3 linked regions of the Drosophila melanogaster genome follow. The protein of the gene in region 1 interacts with the protein of each later gene in a pairwise test. Each region holds a gene or a part of one and is shown on either strand. Other genes may lie near its edges.

Region 1 (7,836 bases):
AAGATAAAATTGCCAAACAGCTTTTAGCAATTATTAATTATGATTCTTATGAGCAAGGTTCCCCTCATGGGCCACCAATGAATAGTTGTGATGCCTCACTGCTTTGACATCATTGTAATGGGGTTCGCAAATAAGAATCATATATACACTATTTAACTTCATTTATTTTTTCATATACAAAAATCACGTCTGATCGCTATGACCGCAAAATTACAAGAGAGAAAGAAAGAATACAGTTCAGTTCAATTAGCATCGATATATAAAATGTTAATCCGCTGTTAAGACAGCTGAAGCACCGGGTGACTCCGCTCATAATCCGTACACACTAGATGAGTACCGGGTATCTGATAGTCGCGGAATTCCATATACGACTATATCTGTACGACTATAGCATTCTCTCTTGTTAAACATAAAATTGAATAAACTTACCAATCAGTTACACTACCAATTTAAATAAAAGTCAACTCGATTTATCTTTAATTTTAATTTGAATCATTCGTTTTTATTTATTTTTTTTAGAAAAAAATTAATTATATTATATTCTTTGGCTTGGGCGATTTGAGTTGCGTCAAAGCTCTTTGGTGCAACCGAAAGCCTAGGTACTGCAAGTGCAAGCGCTTTGTTTAGAAAACAACCAGGACTATATTCGGAGAATTACTTACCGTGGGTCGTCCAGGGGCGATGTCAAGTTCGGCAGCATCGAGAAGAAGATGTCCGGGAAGCTGGGCCCGAACATCGCTCCGTCCAGCTGTGTATCAGACTTCGGATGAAAGTTGCTTTTACACCGTGGGCAGTGGATCTTGACGGTTGACTTGCCCCATACAGCGCTGACGCCCACTGGCAGGGTGTTCTGCCTATCACAGGAGATATTGGGACACGATCCAAAATCTCCTCGCATATATTTTCGGTGCATAGCAATCAGGCCACGCTCTGACCTGATGTATCGGGCGTGAATCATGCCGTACCACTTCTTTTCATCGCCGTACAACAAGCCAGAGGAACTATCGATCACCGGCTTCAGGATCACGTCCAGTATCTCGCTGAAATACTCCAAGCCCATCTGGTTGAACGTATCCTGCACGTAGTCGGTGGGCACGCGGCAGAGGAACTGGTTGCCCTTGATCCCGAGGAACCAATCGATCCAGCTGCTGTTGTTGTTCTGGCTACAAGATTTTACTGTGACTTGCTATAATTTCTATAGGAAAAACCTAGTTACTTACGAGCTCGACATGTTGCCAGTTCACTTGTTCAGAGAAATATGATTTGTAGACTTCAAAGTCATCGTCTTCTTCTTTGAGTTTTTGACACGTGCTAAAAGGCCTGCCAGGACTCTGTCATGCCCTTCCAGATGGGAACTCTAGACTCGAAAATTCGTTTTATGTTCGGCTGGCATAATAAGTATTAGTTCTTTTATTTCATAATATGTTATGCATACGATATTTTATGTGTCAGTTGGGCCAAAAACAAATCAAATGTCATTGTTTCGACAAGGCAGCATCGGCTGATACTATTTATAAATAGTATCCAAATCAAAATCCTATAAATTCAGTAATTTTTTAACACTTAAATTAATTAATAAACTTACCATTCAGTTATATTACCACTTAACTATTTAAATAAAACACAACTCGGTTTATTTTTTATAATTTTTATTTGAATTTTTCGTTTTTATTTATTTTTCTTAGAAAAAAATTAATTAAAATTAAAGAAAACTGAATTTTTATTTTCGCTTACTCTTTGATTTATGGTTGCTTTTCGGTTGCTATTGTTTTTTGGATTATCCTTTAGTGATTTCGGTGACAAACATTTAATTACTGTACACAATTTTTGTTGAGAACTGCACTTGAAATTTTCACGCAATCAAGCCACTACTTTTGTTTTTCTTTTTGTATTTTTTTTGTATAAATATATAGTGTATGCATTCATTGTATTTTGATCATGTATCATATTTTTGTATATTTTTTATATATATATTTTTTATTTTTTTTTTTTTCAAAAATTACTAATAGCTTAAAGGCTTCATTGTTTGGTTAAAAAAAATTGTTTTCGAGTAAAAACTATTTATCGTTTATCAAAGGGACTCTGACACAACCCAGGCAAAGCTCAAGTATCAATCGAAATGGTGAACTCTTAGTTAAGAAAAGTAAAGTCTACAAGTTGGACGATCACATCTTAAATTTTCTGAAACACTGAAAATGATACAATCAAAATTCTCTATTTTGAATTGACATTTAAGCCGAGTTTTCAAATGACGAGTTAAAGGAAATCAAAATCCCTTCTTGTTTGCCTTTCCAATTGATTTATCATATCTGATGCTACATGTGTTAATGGTTATGGGTTGGTTATTTCAGTTACACATAGAATTATATACGGCTATATGTATATAGACACCAGAACCCTCGAACAAATCAATAGAAACGACTAAAACCAATTACTGTTTTTTTTTTTTTTTTTTTTTTTCGTTTTTAGTTTGTTTCGGATACATGTATACGTCTTACATAAAGAATGCTTTCGCTATCTCTCCTCCATTTCGCCGATCGCCCCGATCGATTGGTTGAAAAAAATATATATATTAATATTTTATATGTATATCCCGCCCCAGAAGGTTCGAAAAAAAAATGTGTTCTTAAATCGTTTTTTTTTATGTTTGCTTCCTTACTTTTTTCTTATTTTATGTTTTCTTTCGTATGTTTTAGGTTTTTCTGGTTGCTTTTAAAGTATTCAATTTACCCACCCGCCCGTTCATGTCACGCACCCACTTTCTGGAAAAACGCCGATACAACTGACGGATCCGCTTTCTGACTTTCCTCCTGACCTCGGGCGTTCAGTCTTCGACGGCATATTTCTGGGTCCACTCGCGGGCATTGCGAATGGCCTCCGCCTCGTTGACCTTCCACAACTCAGCCACATCGTTGGCCAGCGGATCGTCGGGATTGGGTGCACTGAGCAGTGCCTGAATGGATAGCAATATGGTCCGGATCTGCAGGGCTGGACTCCACTTGTCCTTCAGCACGTCGAGGCAAATGCGGCCCAAACGATCGATGTTCGGATGGTAGATCTTCGTGATGAAGCGCACTTTGGGCGCTGACATTGGATAGTCCTCCGGTAGGAACAGCTCCAGCTTGAACACGCCGCCCTCGAAGGGCGAATCGTTCGGTCCGGTCACGATCACATGGAAGTAACGGGCATTGTTCTCATCGGGAATGGCATTGATCCCAGGCACTGGCTCCTGCATCAAACGTTGAGTCTCCTTGATGATGCGACGTGGCAGGCTGGACATCGTTTAGCTGGTTCCTTTTACGCGGTGAACTGGAAACGCGGGTTGAGTCTGGACCTTCTCGTTGAGCTGCAAACGAGATCGGAGTGAAGTTAACCAATTAAGTAGTTCCTCGGTATCATCCACTATCCACTCAACGTTAATTAAGACTATAAATTAGTATCCCTAATGTTTACAGTCGTGGTTTCAACTGTGAAATTAAACTAATTACTAATTTAAATAAGGGCTCAACTACATGTATCGGTGAAATAGTAGCATTAGTAAATTGGAGTTTCACTTGGTTTTCTTGGGGAAGAGCGTGGCAAGTCAAAGAGAATTTTCCTTTTTGCAGCTCAAGGTCGTTCTTTATGGGGATGCGTGTGTGCAGGGTTGGGTGGATTTTGGTCTGATACGTGGCTTTCACTTTCCCCAAGAAAGTTTTACTACAGAATTTAGCATGCCACAAAGATGTCTCTATGTGGCTAAAAAAAAAAATAAACTAATTCAAAATATGTTGTATATTTAAAGATGTTTTCAAATTGTAGTACTTAATAATATTTATATTGAAGTATATGAACGGAATTCAAAGTTATTAACTTGATTCTGGATATCTAGACTATATTGTAAACCAATATTTTCAATATTTTCTGGATTTATTTCCGTTACACTTTTTGCGAAGTTCAAAATAAATTTCTGCTTGTGTAAGTCAAAGCCCACCCACTATTGCCAACTCCTTTAGCGTGACCTTGCGGCTCCTTTAACTGTTTACATTTCCCAGACACACGGAAAATCAAGTAAAATAAAGAGGAGAAGGGGAAAGAAAGACGCAGATAAACCAGAAACAAAAGGCAATAAATGAATGCCCCAAAATTTCCAGAAATTGTATTGCGAAAGCAACAACAACAGCAACGAAAAACACTCGAAGCAAACAAAAGAAATTGCGTTATTAACGCGAAAACAGCAATAATTTAACCATAATGTGCGGCGTTTCGCTGTTTTACCAACTTATTGATTTCCCTTTTGGGTGACAAATGCACGTAGTTCCGCAGAGGAAGAAGAAGCAGATTGGACAGGAGGAATGCGGAGGGGGAGAAACGGGGTGAACCGCTTGAAAAATCAATAATGTTGGCAATTAAACTACAAAAAAAAAACCAAATAAGATTTTTCTTTTTTACAAGCAACAATTTCGCTTGCATACGCACACACACAGACACAGCGAGTCACGCACCCACGCACACAGACAAAATGCAGACAACGCGCACGAAAAAGACAAAGGCGAAAAGAGAATATGCGGATGGGTGAGACAAAGAGGGCGAGTCAAGAAAAGAAGAAAAGCAAACGCCGCTTTTTTGGCGAATTTAAGTTAATAGAAAAAAACGGCGAATACTTGGTGCGAACGCCGCAATTATTATTTTTCACACACACACACATATATATTCGATTTATCAACTTTTACGGCTTTTTTCTTGCTCTTCTTCGATATTATATTAAATTTTATCTGCTGCCTCTGCTTCTTCTGCTGCTGCTGCTCCTGCTTTTTTTTTGCTGCTGTTGTTGTTGTTGTTCTCACTTTGGTATTTTTTCGGGCATTTACAACATTTTTGGACAAAAACAATGGTTTTTAGATAAAGTATGCAACTTTCGATAAAACACAAACTCACATCGTAACAGCGCCAAGTTATTGCTGAACTTTATTTGCAGTTATGGCCGATAACTTCGTTGGCAAACTGATAAAATTCGATTTTGCAGGCAGCTCCACCACAAAAATTATGAATGTCGAACACACTCGAAAAAAAATGTAGCCGTTTGGTAGTGTGTGTGTGCGTTGCTGTGACTAACGTGCGTCTGTGTGGCGTGCGTGTGAGCGGCAATGTCAAAATGACAGGGTTGCTAGGGTGCCTAGATGTGAATTCAATTTTTTTGCAACACGTTTGCACCTCCTTCTCAGTTTAATTTCAGTACAAATATATCTTTAAATATTTTCTTTGCTACTCATCTTGTTTTTTATCCCATTTTTCCATTTTTGCGCAGGTAATTTTATTGTTCGCACTAGTAAAAACGCATTTTCGGTGACAACTCTAGCGCTTAGCGGCTGTCAAATAGGACAGTGTTTCATAGCAATCAGCTCTTCGGCACGCTACAACCCAAGGTTTTGGAGCGCTTAGCTTTTTTCTGTCAGAAATTTTGATTGGAAAATTGGCGGGACAAATCCAGTTGAAAGAAACACGAAAGAGAAGTAACAAAAAGTGTAAGTTCCCGGGAATAAGCAATAAATTTAGTCGGGATTTATTTAATCGACGACTTTGATCTTTGTTTTCGTTGCTTAAAACCAATGCTTTGCATTTTTAATATTCATCAGATGTAACCTAACTTCATACCTAAGGTAAATACATCTAAAATTCTCGAGAAATTTGGTCATTTATGTCAGCACTTTATAAAGCGATATTTGAACTGCATATTAGCACTTATTAATATGGTTTTATGTTCTTTTTAACATCATAACCATGTGTTTCCCAAAAACTTTTATCACAATAAGACTTATAATAAAAAAAAATTGCATGCAAATTAAAATAAATTTTATTTCTTTAGTATTATTCGATAGCAAATTAATGATTAAAAAAATGATTGTACATAGGTTTCGTTATTTAACAAGTCTAAAAGGAGCCGGTACAGGATTCCAATCAGACACGTGCAAAAACATAAACCCAAAAAGCGAGATAGCAACAACAACAAATTGTCAATTTACTGTAATCAACATTTATGCGTTTTTAAAAAGAGAGGCTGTCCGAACACACACACACAACTGCGCACTTGCACTCACACCCACACACCTCGAATGCAATGCCCAATGGACGCACAAGAAGCCGAAATGAGCAACAACAAAAACCACAAGGCGGAAGGCAGAAAACTAAAATACAAAAAAAAACAAGCGAAACCTCTCGCTCGCACACACACATGCTATTTACCATTCGTATTCGTTCGATTGCATAGGCCGGTTGCATGTGTGTGTGCGAGTGTGAGATAAAAACAAACACCAACTGCAAAAGGGCAACAAAACCAACAACAGCAAGACAGCCATAAGCATTACACACACCGCACACAAACACACACACACACGTGCGATCTCCGTTTTTAGGCTGGCCAAACCAACAACAACGACTGTAGTCCAGCCCACAAGTGAGAGCGAGAGAGAGCAACCTGCCTCTTTTCTGCTTTGCTGTTTATCTGTTTTTCTGCTGCAACTGCGCTGCTTTTCCCTACGCAGTGCACGTGTGTGTGTGTGTGTGTGAAAGTGTGTGGGTTGGTGCGAGAGGGGATGAAAGAGCAAGAGAGGGCGGAACGGGGGCGACCTTTATTCGCTCTTGAGCTGCAGCTGTTTTTAGTGCCTTCCTCTATGTATTTTTACGCTCGATATGGCCAAATTCTAACCGCTACAGCTGATCTTCAAAGGAATGTGATAGAAAGTGAGGGGGGAAAGGGGAGAAGAAATTGATAGAGAAGACGAGGTGAAGAGTGTAAGAAGACATTCAAATCGAAGGACGTTTTAAAGTTCTGCTACAAAGTGAAGATTTAGTCGAAAAAGAAAGACTAGTATAGCCACTTCTTTAGTGGTAGAATATAATGAAATTCTCTTGGTTTTCGTACAATAAGTCATTGAAATAATAGATGTATCTATGTACATATGTACATACATATATCGGAATAGAAAACCTCAATGCATTTTTTCCTCTTTCAGAACACCGAGAAATGATAGAAAAATTAACTAAAATGGAGAGCGATTGCTTTACTATGAAAATGTTGCAAAATCGACAAGTCTATAACTTAATTTTGCAATTGAATGGGATTTTATCATAATCATATCAGAGAGGAAATATAATTTGGTAAGTAGTATTATTACTTAAACAACTCACTGCTCCTTCAGTACTATTCGTATTCAATGTTTTCCCATTTTAATGGCCGACGATTTTCTATCATAGTTACAAAAACATGGCGTAGTTCACTAGCTCTTTTTCCTGACCTGTAATTCCCGGTGGTGGGTTGCGTTTTATAAAATTCGCATGGTCGCTTGGTTATGGTTTATCCATTTCTTACATTAATTTAAAAAGAAAATATTTAACATGAACACAATATCTTTTTATATAAGCTTTAAGTTAGTTGAAGTCCAACAAAATAGTTTTAGGATGTATTCGCTTTTATTCAATCGTAAATAACCATTTATTAAGCTTACAGTTTATTCCATATATCAAAACAATATTAATATTATTAAATTTGATTATGTTAAAAAAATGCAAGTTAACAACTAATTAAATCAAAAACGATGTAAAGAAAGACTTTTATTTAAAAATAAGTCATTTGTTTTAAATGCTGCAAAAGTTAAATTGATTGCAAAAATAATCAAGAGCTTAAAGTACCGAGTAAGTTGGGGAACGTAAAAAATGGTATTTATTTGTGTTGGGATTTTTTGTTTGTAATATTCAAAACGCAAAACTTTGACAGCACTTCAGCTGGGGGGAAATAAATCTCAGTATTGTTTGGTAATTAGCACCTGAGTTCCCCGCCTCCCCCCCCCCTCATTTCCT
Region 2 (9,742 bases), on another chromosome or scaffold:
AGAAAGCTGACAAAAGTTGACGTCGGTACCAAATTTGACTTTCATGCGACAATTCATTAAATTCAAAATCTTTGTGCAAAGCACTTAATGTTAATAATTGTATATCCGAGAAATTAAACCCAATATATTTATAGCTTAATATCCCTTAACTTTTACTTCATCTTATTTGACAAAAATATATGTATTACTACATTACTAGTGATTATGTCCAAATGTTATAATTAGGGGTAGCAGTGCGCCGCAAATCAGAATTACCAATTCACTATATTTTAGTGCTTGAATACTATTGCTTCCATTTATATCATTCGTAGCAACACCTCGAGATTCCTCTAGCAAACAATAATCATGCTGATCGCTTTTCGTAAATCCCCCTTGGGTAAGCTCTGGTAAAACATGCACAGTTGCTACGTACAAAAATGTTCCAGCGGAGAATAGCATAGCTATACCAGTGGCATTCACGGAATTTAACGTGTCCTTCTGCTCCTGTCCGATCCCAAAATACGTTAAAATAGTCATAAGGGGAGCCGACAGGGAAAATAAGACTAGGTGTCTGCGAATTTGATGTCTGTCTACTTTTTCGTGCAGTAAGAATGTCACTAATCCAAATGCTGCTGGTGCCTTATGAAGCATTATAGCTAAAAATACAATTATCTCAACGTCTTGATGGCTAGTGGTGGCAGCTGCTCCCAATGCAACTCCATCAGCTGCAAAAGAACAACAATTTTTAAGATATGGTGGGTACACCAATATAAGCTTCTTTACCTGCGGCATGCACAACCAATCCAAGAGTTAGTGTGGCATTGTTTTTTTTATTACTTCCAACATTACTCTTCCGCTGAGAGATGTCCACCAACATCATGAAGACAAATCCAAGCACAAGAGAAAGTCCAATGGTCTGTGAGTAATCTGGTTGCTCCGGAACTGATGTCCGTTTTTGGGATTGGCCACTCCCCACATACAATGATCGAATGCCCTCCGGAATAATAACAACGAGAGCAGTTCCCACTAACAATCCAGCTCCCAGCACAGTGACACATTTTAGCTTTTCCTTTAATGACATTTATTAAGTAGAACAAATTAATGCACTAGTGGTGCTCCAAATACCTCACATTAAATTTTTTTTGTATTTAAAATGCCATTGTTTAGTACCGACCTCGCTTAATTTCATCAGCATCGGTATGCTCCCTGCCAAATAAGACCCCACAAGCATAACCAACACTAATAAAATGAGAATTATTGTCTCCTCAGCCATGATTGCCCAACTTAATTTTAATGAGCATAATACCATCAAAGCTACATGTTTTTGCCAACTCAATCGCTAGAGATGAGCCTTATTAACATTTTAACAACGCATATAGCAGCAACCAACTGTGGAACTTATACCATATTCTACAATAACACTTCAACCAAATTAACATCTCATACCACAACAGAACTATACAATTTGTTTTCTTCTCATCCCGTTAAAACTCGCGATCCTACAGACGTACGAAATTTTCCCAGACTGTGAACAATACCTTTAAGTTATTATATTTCATGTCTTACCCACTGGCTTATTATACAAACTTATTGAAAACGGTTTTAGATGGTCCGATACAAATGTATGATACCATTTTTAATTTATATATAATATATATAAAACATATATAATATAATATAATATAATATATATAATATAATATAAGATAATATATATAATATAATATATAATAATATATATAATATTATATAATATAATATAATATATATAATTTATATATAATATATATTTAGAAATAGTACCAAGCATTCTCAACCGACTTTTAACCGATTTTTTATTTGCTCTCATGTGAAATTTAAAAAAAAGAAAAAACCTTTAATGGTTTTAAGAATAATTGTTCGAATGGAGCTAGTGAACCAAATTTTCTTTAAGCTATTGTTTATCGGAAAATTTAACTTGTTCGCAAAACCTATAGTAGTTGCTCTACCTTTTACTGGTTATGATCGGTCACCAGTTAATTTTAATATTTTAAATAAATTCTGTAAATATATTAAAGTGTGCGGTATATAGTATTTTCCTGGTGTCACCGTGTGTTATCCTACAATAATTGCTCATTTGGCTTATCTATATATCGTCAGAAATCACATAACATAAAAAATTCTAGATCCTTATAATTTATTTATTTAATAAGTTATTTAGGGATACATCACTCTCTCGTACTACATGGAGGGTTGTATTCCGTATTATGATTGTATAGCGCAACGTGAGAATGTAATTTATCTCAGTGCACAACGTGTATTACACCATTTACATAAACAGTTTGGTAACCTAAGGTCATACTATTAACAGCACTGTTGATTTTGGTTTATTTATTGTCAAATAGGTAAAAAGTCTAAGCATATGGAATAAATCAGGCTTTATTAAATCGAATCTAGTCTAATTTCAAAGAAAGTCACATTTAATGTTTTTTTTTTTTTAAATCAACTAACTAAATTGTTTCTGTTTATTATGAAAGTTGTGTATACATATGTGCATTTTATATACATGCATGCGTACTTATTAATTTAAGATTTCTTGGGGATTGGTACTAATTGGTACTGTATATGTGAGTTTTAAACGTTTCATTATTTTGCTAATTTCCGATAAACTTATAAAATTAAATGAAAATAGAATAAGTCGTCCAAGGTTTTTAAGAATAGATGGATCACGAATATTTGCACCTTCATCTGGCGTTCAGAATTGGCAAAAACAGGATTCTTCCAACGTTGAGTGACGAATCGTAATCAAACAAATACATCCATATAATTTAATGAATATCTCGTTTTGTAACACTATTTTTTTATTAGTTACTACAATTTGCTCAGTGCGGAGTAAAGGTAATGCATCAATAAATAAACAATCGTTGTGTGATGTACAAGTGTTCATCGCAAAGTTTAAAACGAGCCAAGCCAAATCGCGTATGAAATAGTATAATAAATCTTTTAGCGATTGGTACTTCCCCTTAACAAGCGTGTGTATAAATATCCTTAAAAGTAAAGTCCAATGTCAATGTAGTGTAAAACATACACGATAAGGATATTCAACAGATTGAAAGTATCTAGACGTCCATATGAAAAAAATATCATCATATCATATATCAATTTCCAGTTTTTAAGGAATGGAAAGTTTTCTTCAGTTTTTTCCGTTAAGAAACAAAAATTTTTTTAAGTAAAGGTGTAGAAATATTAACTATAACAGATCCTAGATTTTATATCATTATACGCGGTACTCGTTTTTTTTTGAATATTTTTATGTCTTGGCAATCTTTTATCGATAAACAACACATCGAGATTTTGCAGATGTGGGGTGATATGAAGTCAAAAAACATATGTTACCCATCAAACTACGATGCAAGTTTGGTAGAAAAACACTATTTACCTTCGAGACCAATTTTGCTCCTTGGCCCAACCAGTTTCCACTTTTTATGTCTTCTTTAGTTTCGGCCAGGTCTATTGGCGGCAGGTATTTCCTTAATCCTTGTGGCCGCACAACTTTCAAGATTTAAGCTCTATGTGGGAGCTGCATATAGAGGTTTTGGTTTCCCAATCGGAAATTTTTGCAATCGTGATTTTTCTCGTTCGCTAAAACAAAAAAAAAAAGCTTTTCTTTGGCTCGGTCGCGTAAATGGTCTTCTTTGATCTTCCTTTTACTTTGTGTTTGTTATGTACAACTTTTAAAAAAAAGCTTACACTGCATTTAAATATAAAGTTTTACAACTTAACTAAAATACAAGATAAAACGAGCCGTATAAATTTTCTTTACGTGTGCATATATTTCAGTTAAATCTTCGAAAAACGCATGAAATGGGTAATTGCTTAAAAATTAGCACTTCAGATGACATTTCACTTTTACGCGGCAATGACAGTCAAATCAGCGGGACACAGCCAGTGTATCATGTAAGTACCAATGCACGGGTGCGAGTTTTAACGATAATCGTCGATTTAAAGAAGTCCAAAATTTACTAATTTGTAGTCTTTTAATCTTCAACAATTACATTAAAAATGTTTTTTATGAGTTTATCGAAATATTCTTGGTCAATAATTATTTTTAAAGCAAAGGTTTTGTATAAAACCTGGCCTTCGAAACTAATTTTTTGATTATTCTTAACGAAGATATTTGCAAAATAATGTATTTTTATACTCAGTTTTCTCTGTGACAGTTTCAAAAAAATTTCCCGAAAATAAAAGTGTTGAGAAGAAAAATTTTTCTAACTTGTAAGATACTATTAAATAGTAAAGTAAATGGCATCGCTATAAATTTTTGAGGAATTATGGATTACTTGGCAATCAAAAAAAAGGAAATTATTGGGCATTTTAAAGATTTCTTGGGGATTGGTACTGTATATGTAAGTTTTAAACGTTTATAAAATGAAATAATAAAAAATAAATAATAAATGAAAATAAATAAAAACGTCCAAGGTTTTTAAGAATAGATGGATCACGAATATTTATACCTTCTTCTGGCGTCCAGAATTGGCAAAAACAGGATTCTTCTAACGTTGAGTGCCGAATCGTAATCAAACATCCATAGAGTTTAATGAATTTCTCGTTTTGTATTATTATTAGTTACTACGATTTGTTCAGTGTCGACGAAAGGTAATGCATCAATAAATGTATAACCGTTGTGTGATGTATTAGTGTTCATCGAAAAGTTTAAAACGAGCCAAGCCAAATCGCGTATGAAATAGTATAATAAATCTTTTAGCGATAATATACTTGCAGTACGAAGCTTAGCTATGTATTGGTACTTCCCTCTAAACAAGCGTGTATATAAATATCCTTAGAATTAAAGTCCAATGTCAATGTAGTGCAAAACATACACGAGAAGGATATTCAACAGGCTGCAAGTATCTGGATGTCTATATGAAAAAAAAATCAGACATTTTTTTAAAAGAGTGCGCGTGGCAGTTTTGGGAGGTTTGTTGTGGTCGAAGCAGAATGTTTTTTGTCAAATCGATAAAAATTGTGGACGTGGCCGTTTTGCTTGCTATGAGAGCCCACAATTGAAAACAATCTGTCTATAATCTTCATGCTTTATGAAGATTGCTTTCATATACAAAGATCGGTATGGCCAGATCGACACGGCTATTAATTCGGATCAAGAATTAATATACATTATAGGGTCGAAACCGCTGTCTTCTGCCTGTTACATGTTTTTCAGCGAGTAATTTAACTCAATTGATTTCTGACGGCAGAGTGCGCGCGAGAAGCAAAGCGAAGCCAGAAGCTATGAGCAAAGCAAGAAGATGGCAGAGTGAGTGCTTTGCGAGAATCGAGCAACATTGCTGTCTTTTAGTTATTAATGTGAACGTGATGGATTCGGACGAGGAATTTTTTGCATCAACCACAACTTTTAGCTTTCTGTTAATAAGAAAACTGGCGTCCAATCCCTTAACTGCAATATAAATGGAAAAGGCTAAAAGGCGAATTTATTTATGTAATCACTAACGAAACCACTCAGAAAGGTTCTTTAATGTCTACTTCGACTTTTGATTATATTAAAAAAAAAAATTAGAAGTCGTTTGATGAAGAATTGGGCAACCAAAACAAAAAAACATGTGTTTTGAAAATAAACGGTAATAAAAGCACAGTATACAACATCGTACCAAAGACGATAGAATAACAAGATGCGTAACGGCCATTCTACATTGGTTTGGCACTATACAGTCAGTTTTTTGGGGACGTCCAAAATTGCTCTCTTTCCGCTCGCTTACGCTGAGAGCGTAAGACATCTAAAAATTGAATTGGCTTGATTGTGTGAGTAAAAACAAGAGACGAGAATGCGTTTATGTGTGCGTGTTGTGCTAGAAGACGATTTTCGGGACGAAATCAATTCTTATCGAAGAAACGAATTTACATAATTGGGGAGTTTTGGCCAATTTCGTAGCAATATGATGAAATTGCGCGCTTTTTAAAAATATCAAATTGGAATATAACAAAAAATAAAAAAACTGAACAACTGAATCTAATGTGCATTTTAAATAATAAAATTGGATCATTTATATACATCATATTAAGTCAAATGACTTAATAAATATACTAAATAATTAAAGCAAATACAAAGGAAATTATTATAACTACTGTAATTTAAAACATAAATTTTCCAGAAAGAAGACATTACGTTGAAAAATAAATATTTCATAAAAATAATACGTAGTAGAAAATAAAAATTTATAAAATAAATAAAAATATGAAAACTGTTTACTGCAAAAGTCATATCTTGAGGCACAAAGTGCGGACACAAGCACTCAACAATGCCTTATTAAAAATTATTCACACGTCGCAAGCTGAATACTCTAATGACATGTATATATGACATATATATATATATTCTAATATAAAGTCATTTTTGAAATTTTTTCGTGATGTTATGATTCGGCTATTACTATTTCTAAGCTTTATTTAGAAACGTTAAGGCAATGCAAACCAAGAATTTCTCGCATGGTGCCAATTGATCAAAAATAATATAGATTTAAAGTCTAAGATCTTCTAAGGTGAAGGGCATATTTTGTCAAGTTTACAATGCATGAGCATACGTGTGCACACATACATTTGTCTGCTATCACTGTATGCGCAGAAAAGAGCTATTTGCTGTAGCGCTCTCCGCTCTCGACAAAAATTCCAGAGCCTGGAGCCACCTCTAGAGCCACGGCGAAAAATTCGTGTGCCAAAAAATCGTATTCTTTATCGATTGAGCTCGCAACTCGCTTCGCGCAATGTGGCATCTAGCCCGTCTCAACGTTCACAATAATTATAATATTATAATAATCTACATTTTGATTTAACGAATTTGAAATAAAGTATATCCATTGGATTTAATGAAACTTTAATTTCAGCAGGGAGAGCATTATCAACGAGAATTGTACCCTTCCACGTCGTCTTCGACAACGCTAACACCATCTTCTAACAATCGTCAACTTTCCGATGAAAATCAAGTGAAAATTGCAAAGCGAATTGGATTAATGCAGTACTTGCCAATAGGAACATACGACGGGAGCTCAAAGAAAGCACGAGAATGTGTTATCTGCATGGCTGAATTTTGTGTTAATGAAGCCGTACGTTATCTACCTTGCATGCATATTTATCATGTTAATTGTATAGATGATTGGTTGTTGAGAAGTCTAACTTGTCCCAGTTGTTTAGAGCCTGTTGATGCTGCCTTGCTGACGAGTTATGAATCGACATAGCGTTATAAAAACATTAGCTTACAATTTTGCTGCTGTAATGTGTTTTGGGATAACAAAACCTTTGCTTACCAAGTATAAATTAATCTTTTATATATTTCAATTTTATTCTTTATTATATAAATTTGTTATTGTTTTATTATCGAAACATGTTATAATATTTAATTCATTTTAGCGATAACCAAAATCATAATTGCAATACTAAGGAGCTGAAGAATTTGAAATCCAAATTAGTTTGTGTATATATTGTAGTGTATCTACCCTCACTATAACTCTACTCTACATATATATAAGTAACGTACATACATTGTGACACTTTGTTGCAAACACAAATAAACATAATTCACATCAAAGACCACATGCACTTACATAAACACTCCAGCCAATGAAATACGATCTAACGCTTATACATAAGCCGATCGCGGAGCGTGAGAATGCTGAGCATGCACTTAGCAGCTCAAGTGGTCAAGCCATACATAACATATGTATGCCTTCTGCATACACATGTATATGTATATACAATATATACAATATGTACAATATGTAAGAACACCATGTACGGGTAGCTGTACCCAAAGACAGCAACATAGGATTCATTCAAATAAAACGATTCAAACGGAACAGACGCTCTGAGCTATTCAATATCTATTACACTGAGCTATTACTTATTACTTATTACATGGCGACCGTGACTTGGTCTCGAGTCTGCCTCTGTGTTGTGCCTCTGTGTATTGTGATTATGTATCGTGTATTGTGTTTGTGTTAAAAAAAAAAAAAAACAACATTTTGTGCCTATTATATTCAACGTGTGAACACACAAACATAACTAAAATGTACTTGTAGTACTTGGACGCATTAAATGCAAATATATGTTCAATTGAAACAAACAAAGCACAAAAACACACAAAAACACACACAAAAACGCACAAAAACACGCAAACACAGCACACACAGAAGAACAAGCGGCGATTGATGGCAGACGAGCCACAATTCGCCAATGCACAACCACAAGTGCAACGGGACCAGCCAACGCTAGAGGAAGCGTTGCGGTTAAACAACGCCGATGGACCACGCCCACTCACAGTAGCTGAGTACCGGGCACGGCAGGAGAAGAAACAACTACGAAAGCACAAACGCTCAGGACGGAGGATTAAACTACTACAACAACGCCGACTGGTCAAGGAAATGACCCAGTTGGCAAAAGAAGAATCAGCACGACAACGCTACCAAGAGCGTTTGGAAGCCATTGAACAAGAACTTCGCCAAAGTGCGAAGACACGCAAACGGGCTGCTTAAATGCAAATGCCCCAATTTGCCCTAGAATTAAAATAAACCCAAGCCGAGGCGGGAAACCGCTGCTTGGAAATACTAACAAAACTTTATGCTAGGCTTTATACTAAAAAATGTGGTTGGAGATTTTTTTTAAAATCCTATTGAATTGTAAATTGTGACTTGTGAGCCAACCACATTAGCACTATCAAATTTCCATGTCTCTGCCACTGAGTATATATACTCAGTTGCAAATAATTTGTGTAACTTTAACAACTTTAAATTTTCTATTTCAAAATAAAATTTTACATTTTAAATTTAAATGAATAACATTTTAAAAATGGATTAAAAAAAAAATAACTTTCTTAAAGAGAATTTTCTTTCTAAAAATACAAGAAAAAATAGATTTTTATTTTTCATATTATATATATAATAACATTATATATAATACTTCAAAAAAAAACGTTTCATTGAATATATAAAAATATTCAACACAAATTAAAATAAATTTTCTCTTCAATTTAAAATTAGGCAAATCAAATAAATATGATTATAGATGTATACAAGTACAGCGATATTCATAGAACTATTTTAGGGCGCCTCTATACGCGCATTTTTGTTTCTGTCCGTTTTACTGCCTACTGCTGGCTCAATATTAACGCGGAAGAATTACAAGAAATAGCTAGCCGCGACGAAGACGTCGCAATGCATTTTGAGAACGTCATAAATCCAGACGTCTAGGTAGTTTTGATAGACTAAATAAATATTCATACACAAATCAAATAAAAATTAGAAATAAAATTAGGAAACCTAATAAGTAAAACAATTATATTACATGTCATTAAAATTGAATGAGCATTAAAGATAATTCCATACCGAAGATAGACCCCCTAAAGACAATCATTTCGGAACTGTCTACTATGTTAGACAAAAATTCCAATATAGCGGACTCCACCGCAAACGTAATCAATACAGTTCAGGTATCACAGCCCGAACTTAAAATAATTACGGTACTCCTCATAATAATAGTAGTACTGCTATGTGCGAGTATGATAACGAAATTGTACAAACTACATAACAGATGCCTCAAGAAGAAATACTTGAGTAAGGCATTGGACCTAGATAAGGTCTAAAGTAGTACCCTGCGTACAAATTTCGAATATTCAATTAAATAGAAATTATCTTTACATATATATATAAAAAAAAAAGAATATCAAACATACTATAAATGAAATATTAAGTAGAGACCCCCACTTCGCAAGTAGACTATA
Region 3 (5,923 bases), on another chromosome or scaffold:
ATATTAAATGGAGGAAAAGACCGTCGCTAATGTTCCGATTGTTACCTCGTTTTCGTAAGTTTTTGGTTACAATCCGAAATTAATTGAAATATCTGGGCTTAACTGAATGTTTTGAAGCAGGAAAACTATCTATAATGACTGGAGTTACCCCACCAAAACGCTCTCCCCTTTGGATCGGCACACACAGCGGCACTTTTCACTGCGACGAGTTGGTCGCATGTTTTATGCTCAAGCAATTGGATGAGTACAAAAACGCAGAGATTTTCCGCAGTCGGGACAACAAGGCTTTGAAGGAGAAGTGCGATATAATTGTCGACGTGGGCGGCGTTTATGATCATGCCAAGAAATTGTACGATCACCACCAAATAACCTTCAAGGAGACTTTTAGTTCCGTTCGCCCAGATGTAAGCGAGGACTACAACGTTGTCAGGTGAATTCGTGGTGTTAGCGTAAATGAACCCGTATAATCCAATGTAATCCCCTCCAGGCTAAGCAGTGCTGGACTGGTCTACTGTCACTATGGCGAGCGTGTTATACAGAGCATCCTGCAGCGCGAAAAGGGAATTAAACTCTCACCGGAAAACCTGCAAACGGCCTTTATTCAGATCTATAGGAATTTTATCAACGAACTGGACGCAATTGATAATGGAGTGCCCATGTTCGAGGGCGTTGAGCCTATATACAAAATCTCCACTCATCTATCTGCCCGCATTGCCAAACTGAATCCGTCCTGGCAGGAAACTGGCGTAGACATCGAAGACCGATTCAGACAGGCGATGGATACTGCAGGTCGTGAGTTTGTGGACAACGTTGTGGAGGTATCATGTTCCTGGATTCCAGCCCGGGATCACGTACGAGAGGCTCTTAAAAATGCCAAGAACGTCCATCCCACCGGCGAGATTCTTGTGTTGAAGAATTTCTGCCCCTGGAAGTCTCATCTGTTCGATCTTGAAAAGGAGTACAAGGTGGAGGGTGTGCCCAAGCTGGTCGTCTTCAACAGCGGCAATAGTTGGCGAGTGGCCGGAGTTCCAGTGACGCCTGGCAGCTATCTGGGCCGCAAATTTCTGCCCACTCCTTGGCGCGGACTGATGGACGATGAACTATGCGATAAGGCGAGCATCAAAGATCTCGAATTCATCCATCACACAGGATTTATTGGCGGGGCAAAAACCGAGGAGGCTGCCATGTTGTTGGCCAAGAAATCCACCGAGTGGACAGAAGAGCAATAATATAATACGACTTAAAGTTATGCTTTTGAAATTGAAAAACAATAATTAGATCGCATTTAATTCTGGTGTTATTACGCATTTAATTCTGGTGTTATTACGTTATACGGAAAAGAAATACGCACATGTTGTACCTAAACAAATTTTATTTGTATGTGTATTTCGGTTAATGTATACAAAATCACCAAGGGAACCTCTAACATCATCTAGTCCATGCGGGTCTTCAGTGTGCGCTCCGTGATCTTGTCCTTCTCGATAATGTAGACGGTGGCACCCCAACCGCTCATGGCGTCGCGATCGAATGCGTTCACAATGGACTGGGCGATGACCTCAAACAGCTGGTCCGGCTCGAGATCGGGTTTCCACAGGGTTTCGCACATGCCATACAATTGCTCCGCACAGGTGCCGGCCACAACGAAGTCATCGGGTGCGTTGGGGCAGCCGATCAGGTCCATGTTGCAGATAAAAGGCTCCATGGTCTTGGGATCCAGGCCAGCAACGACCGGCTCAATGAAGTACGGGCCAAAGCGGTGCTCGTACAGAAAGCTGGACATCATGGCCGAGAAGGGCTTGGGACACATTTCACGGTTTTCGCGTGTCTCGTACAGATTCTTGCGGAACATCAGGCGATCGCGAACAGTAAGGATGTCCGTCTGCAGGCCTGTGAGCCCGAGGAACATCCGTGGGCCGATGTGGAACACCTTCTTGAAGTCCGTGGAGATCGTCTGAGCCTGAATGCCGAATCGGTGATCCGTGGCAATCGCCACGCAGTCCTTTCCGCGCATGGCCACTACACATCCTCCGTTGTAGGCTAGAATCGACATGGTGTCGTTGCTATTCGCTTAGCTCAATTTAATCAGCAGAAAAATGGAAATTTTGCAAAATGCTAAAAGCCGCCTGGGAAGATGACTTTTTGTTTCTGCTCTGCGTTGCCAGACTGCGAGTGTAAGATGGGCTAATACTGACTGGCTGTATAGAACTGGCAACGCCTACTAAAGAGATTTCAAAAAGAATCGCGTTTTTTAAGTATTTTTTAAGTATTAGTATTTTTAAACACAAGTTAAAGTTATAAAATGTTTAAAAATGCAAAAATATCTCCGCGAATGTTAAAACGCATTTTTCTTATCATTTGGATCCTTTTGAAGTAATAAAAGATCCAAATGTTAATATGCCAGTATTAGCTTTCAGTGTGACCAGGCCGCGTCAATCAGTTGGGATTTATTCTCCTCTGCGGCAAAGGCCACTTTGTAAGGGGCCCTTATTTATAGAAAAATTAAATTCTATCCCTTAAACTCCCAATTGTTCCGACTGAACCCAATGACCGGGTAAAGCTAGGCGCGTGTACCTTGTCCTCCTCTTGTCACATCAACGTCTACAGCCGCAAGCAGCCTACATCATCGGAAGGCGACAGTCTTGCACAATCGTCAGTGGAGCCGTTGCCCAGGAAATAAAGAACCTACCGCAGGATGGCAGAGGCAATGGTTGTGGAGGACCGCCCCGCGGAAGCCAAGCGATTCTTCTGCCACATGTGCAACGTGGAGATCAACATTCCCAACTCAGACTTCACCTGTCCGCTGTGCGCCAACGGTTTCGTGGAGGAGCTGCCGGCAAATGCGCCGGAGATGGATTCTTCGACGGCTGGAGCATCCGGCAGTGCCAGATCCGGAAGCAGCGGTAGTGGCTCTTCTGGCTCACACGACACCCTGAGCAGAGGCAGCTCATCGAGCGGATCTCAGGTGAATGTTGAGTCGCTGCGTAACGATATTGTGTCGCTGCTAAACATGCGGAATGTGCCCAACTTGGAAATTACCATCGAGCCAAACAGACGGCACAGCAACGTGCTGCATCTAGGCGGCTTTGGTGGTCCCTCGGGTAGTGACTCTGCCCGCGGCCTGACCGCCGGCGGACGAGTGCGTCCGGCAAATTTGGACCGACTGGACAATGTTCTCTTTGATTTTCTGCAGAGCCTGCCACTGGCCGGCGCCACGGCCGAAATAGTAACTGGACCCGGTGGAGGAGGTGTAGGCGGCGGCGGTAACTCGCACATGTTCTTCATGGGAAACCCGGGAGATTATGCGTGGGGCCGAGAGGGACTAGACACCATTGTCACCCAAATGCTCAACCAAATGGAAACTTCAGGACCGCCGCCATTGTCGGCGCAGCGCATAAACGAGATACCCAATGTGCAGATCAATGCCGAGGAGGTAAACCGCAAGATCCAGTGCTCTATATGCTGGGACGACTTCAAGATTGACGAGACGGTACGCAAGCTGCCCTGCTCGCACCTGTATCACGAGAACTGCATCGTGCCTTGGCTAAACCTGCACAGCACCTGCCCCATATGCCGCAAGTCACTGGCAGACGATGGCAACGATGCGGACGACGAATTTGTCATGCTCGATGCCTTCGGACCAGAGATGGCGGCCGATGGCAGTAATTCCGAAAGGAGATCGGCCAGCACCGCCACAGGAACGGACAATCCCTCGCCGGCTAATAATCCCAGTCAGGCAGCGGCGGAAGGCGGCCGAACACGTCCGGATGCTAATCCCGCCCAGGCAGCACGCAACAACATCTTTACCTTTGACGACGACAACATGTTTCTGGACTAGCTGGTAGGGCGATGCTAAATCGAAGTGGAGCGATGATCGATTGATATTCAAAATTAAGCCAAATATTGGCCGCATATATATTTATAATAGTTTCTCCTCACGCTTAATTTTGTTGTTGTTCAAAATAACGATTTGTAATAAACAAAACGGGACATACGATTCCGTTGGCTCTGCAAAAATCAACTCTCGTTTATCGTATCGCGTAGTTGCTTATTTTTCTTTGTAATGGAACTTGTATTGTACATATATGCGTGTCGTGTATATTTACATAATCAAAATAGGAACTGACTCTGTGCTTGCCTCAAGAAATTCCTTTAATGAATTATTTCAATAACATGCAGCTCGAACGTGTAAAATTAAAATACTTTCTAAAATAAACATCTATTGTAGTCTAGACTTCAAACTTGATATTATTCTTAAACTTTATTGACAACAAGTAAACGGTGTTTTTGTTTTTCAGGTGGATACACTTCAATTTTTATTGTTTATTTTTTTACTGTCTCGTCTGATCCTGGTTGTAAACTTCGAAAAGTTCTAAAGGAAGCTTATTGGCTCACACGGTCTGGTCATACTATTCCGGGAAGCATATGTTCCTCACAGGGTGGCAGCTCCGTCAAATTGTTTAAATTCCCATTTGACTGAAAATCTGACTTAACCGTTTAAGAACTCCGCCAAAATGCGTAAAGTCAATTGAAGTGAAGAATATAACGCCGTGACCAACGAAATAATATGACACACGAAGGAAGTAACGATTTTGTGGTGCTCACCGACGTGGTATGTCTTAGCAAGCCAACTATGTAATATTTGTTGGGGAAGACTTTTGTTTATTTCCGAACTTTTTTGTTTATTTTGCGTAGGTGCGCAAGCAATATGTGCTCTATTTGGAGCGCCAGCTGCAGGAGAATGTCTGCGCCTGGGCCAACCAATCCCGTAATCGCCACAAGCCCACAGCCTGGGCGTGCATTCCCGCGAGCTTGGAGCAACTGGAGAACAAGGCGAAGAAGGCTTCCATGGCGGCACAGATCTACCAAAGAGCCATGGTCAAAACGGTACAAGGTTCCCAGATACATATATTATGCCATGTTCATATAAGTTGTATACCGACAGATAGCTGCGGTACGTAGGAACACTCAGGAATGCCGTTTGGCCAACATTCTATTTGAACAAATGCAGCATGCAGCTGGAGAGGATGCTGTGCCCGTAAAAACAGACCACCGTCTGGTGGATAAGGCCACACAAACAACCGTCATAGAAGCCCAGAATGGCCACATAACTCCTACGGAGGACTACGATGATGATAGCTATGAGCTGCGTAGAAAAATCGATATGTTTCAGGCTAGTCTCGAACGGTCGGAAGTTCAGAACGAAACGCATTGCCCACATTGCCGTAGTAAGATCATGACCCCAGAGAATAAGCCCCTAGCCAATCAAGAATCTCTCTACTCCGAAACCGAAGATGCTGTGGCCCAGGAGTTGGCCATGTTGTTTGGAGAAGAGCCTACTGATCTTAATCATATATTCGGCATCGAACCAACTGCTGTTACTGACGATCCGCAGATCTCGGCCATACTAAAGGAAATAGCGAATGCGGAACTACCTGAAAAAATTGAGCATCCACCCACATCCCCAACCGCCACACCACCAACTGGGCATCACAGCGAGGTGGATCTTCGCCAGAGTCGCTGGCCTTGCGAACTCTACGCCCAGAGGAGGCGTCTCAATGCCTGTTTAGTTCGCTTACTGGAAGCGGATTGGCGGTGCGAGGACCGCTTGAGATATAAGTTTCACCTGATTTTTGGCGAAGACAGCGATGATGAGTTCGCAAACCAGTTATCCAGCCCGTCAATTGATTTAGTGGACGAAGTTCTGCTGGCCAGCTGCTTGCTTCGTATTCGCCCATGGATTGTACGTCATTTGATGTCTCCCCTGGAGGAGGGCCTTATCGCCAATCGATTTCTGTTCAAGAAGCTAGCCAAGATGCTGGCGCACTCCATTGTCATGGTCAATCCATATTGCTCCGAGCTGGAGATCAAGCAGGCTGTTGAGCACTTGTTCTGCCTTAGACCTAGAGGAATCCAGAGCGCATAT

What was found. Proteins that work in one complex are often made in the same cells at the same time.
Region 2: the proteins of ben (region 1) and Rnf11 interact in a two-hybrid assay, tested with the Drosophila melanogaster proteins (one large-scale study listed by BioGRID).
Region 3: the proteins of ben (region 1) and Iru interact in a two-hybrid assay, tested with the Drosophila melanogaster proteins (one large-scale study listed by BioGRID).

Annotation. Positions count from the first base shown.
Region 1 is NC_004354.4:13,993,605-14,001,440, reverse strand, and holds ben (bendless), read right to left. Parts: upstream 5,097-7,836; 5' UTR 4,918-5,096; intron 4,826-4,917; exon of another isoform or gene 4,644-4,825; intron 3,347-4,643; 5' UTR 3,281-3,346; coding exon 2,825-3,280; 3' UTR 1,636-2,824; downstream 1-1,635. Other genes in the region: Ste12DOR (stellate 12D orphon), read right to left, coding at 596-602, 663-1,163, 1,221-1,231. UniProt on the Drosophila melanogaster protein: Catalyzes the covalent attachment of ubiquitin to other proteins.
Region 2 is NC_004353.4:312,595-322,336, forward strand, and holds Rnf11 (ring finger protein 11), read left to right. Parts: upstream 1-2,328; 5' UTR 2,329-2,585; intron 2,586-3,798; 5' UTR 3,799-3,822; coding exon 3,823-3,915; intron 3,916-6,854; coding exon 6,855-7,205; 3' UTR 7,206-8,791; downstream 8,792-9,742. Other genes in the region: Zip102B (Zinc/iron regulated transporter-related protein 102B), read right to left, coding at 196-704, 763-1,048, 1,154-1,252.
Region 3 is NT_033777.3:9,004,022-9,009,944, forward strand, and holds Iru (iruka), read left to right. Parts: upstream 1-2,434; 5' UTR 2,435-2,692; coding exon 2,693-3,835; 3' UTR 3,836-4,009; downstream 4,010-5,923. Other genes in the region: CG11980 (uncharacterized protein), read left to right, coding at 30-54, 118-430, 488-1,229; Prosbeta3 (proteasome beta3 subunit), read right to left, coding at 1,433-2,050; CG11983 (uncharacterized protein), read left to right, coding at 4,565-4,609, 4,693-4,884, 4,943-5,923. UniProt on the Drosophila melanogaster protein: E3 ubiquitin-protein ligase that mediates E2-dependent, 'Lys-48'- and/or 'Lys-63'-linked polyubiquitination of substrates. Recognizes miRNA-empty Ago1 and triggers its degradation via polyubiquitination independently of the Bag6 complex.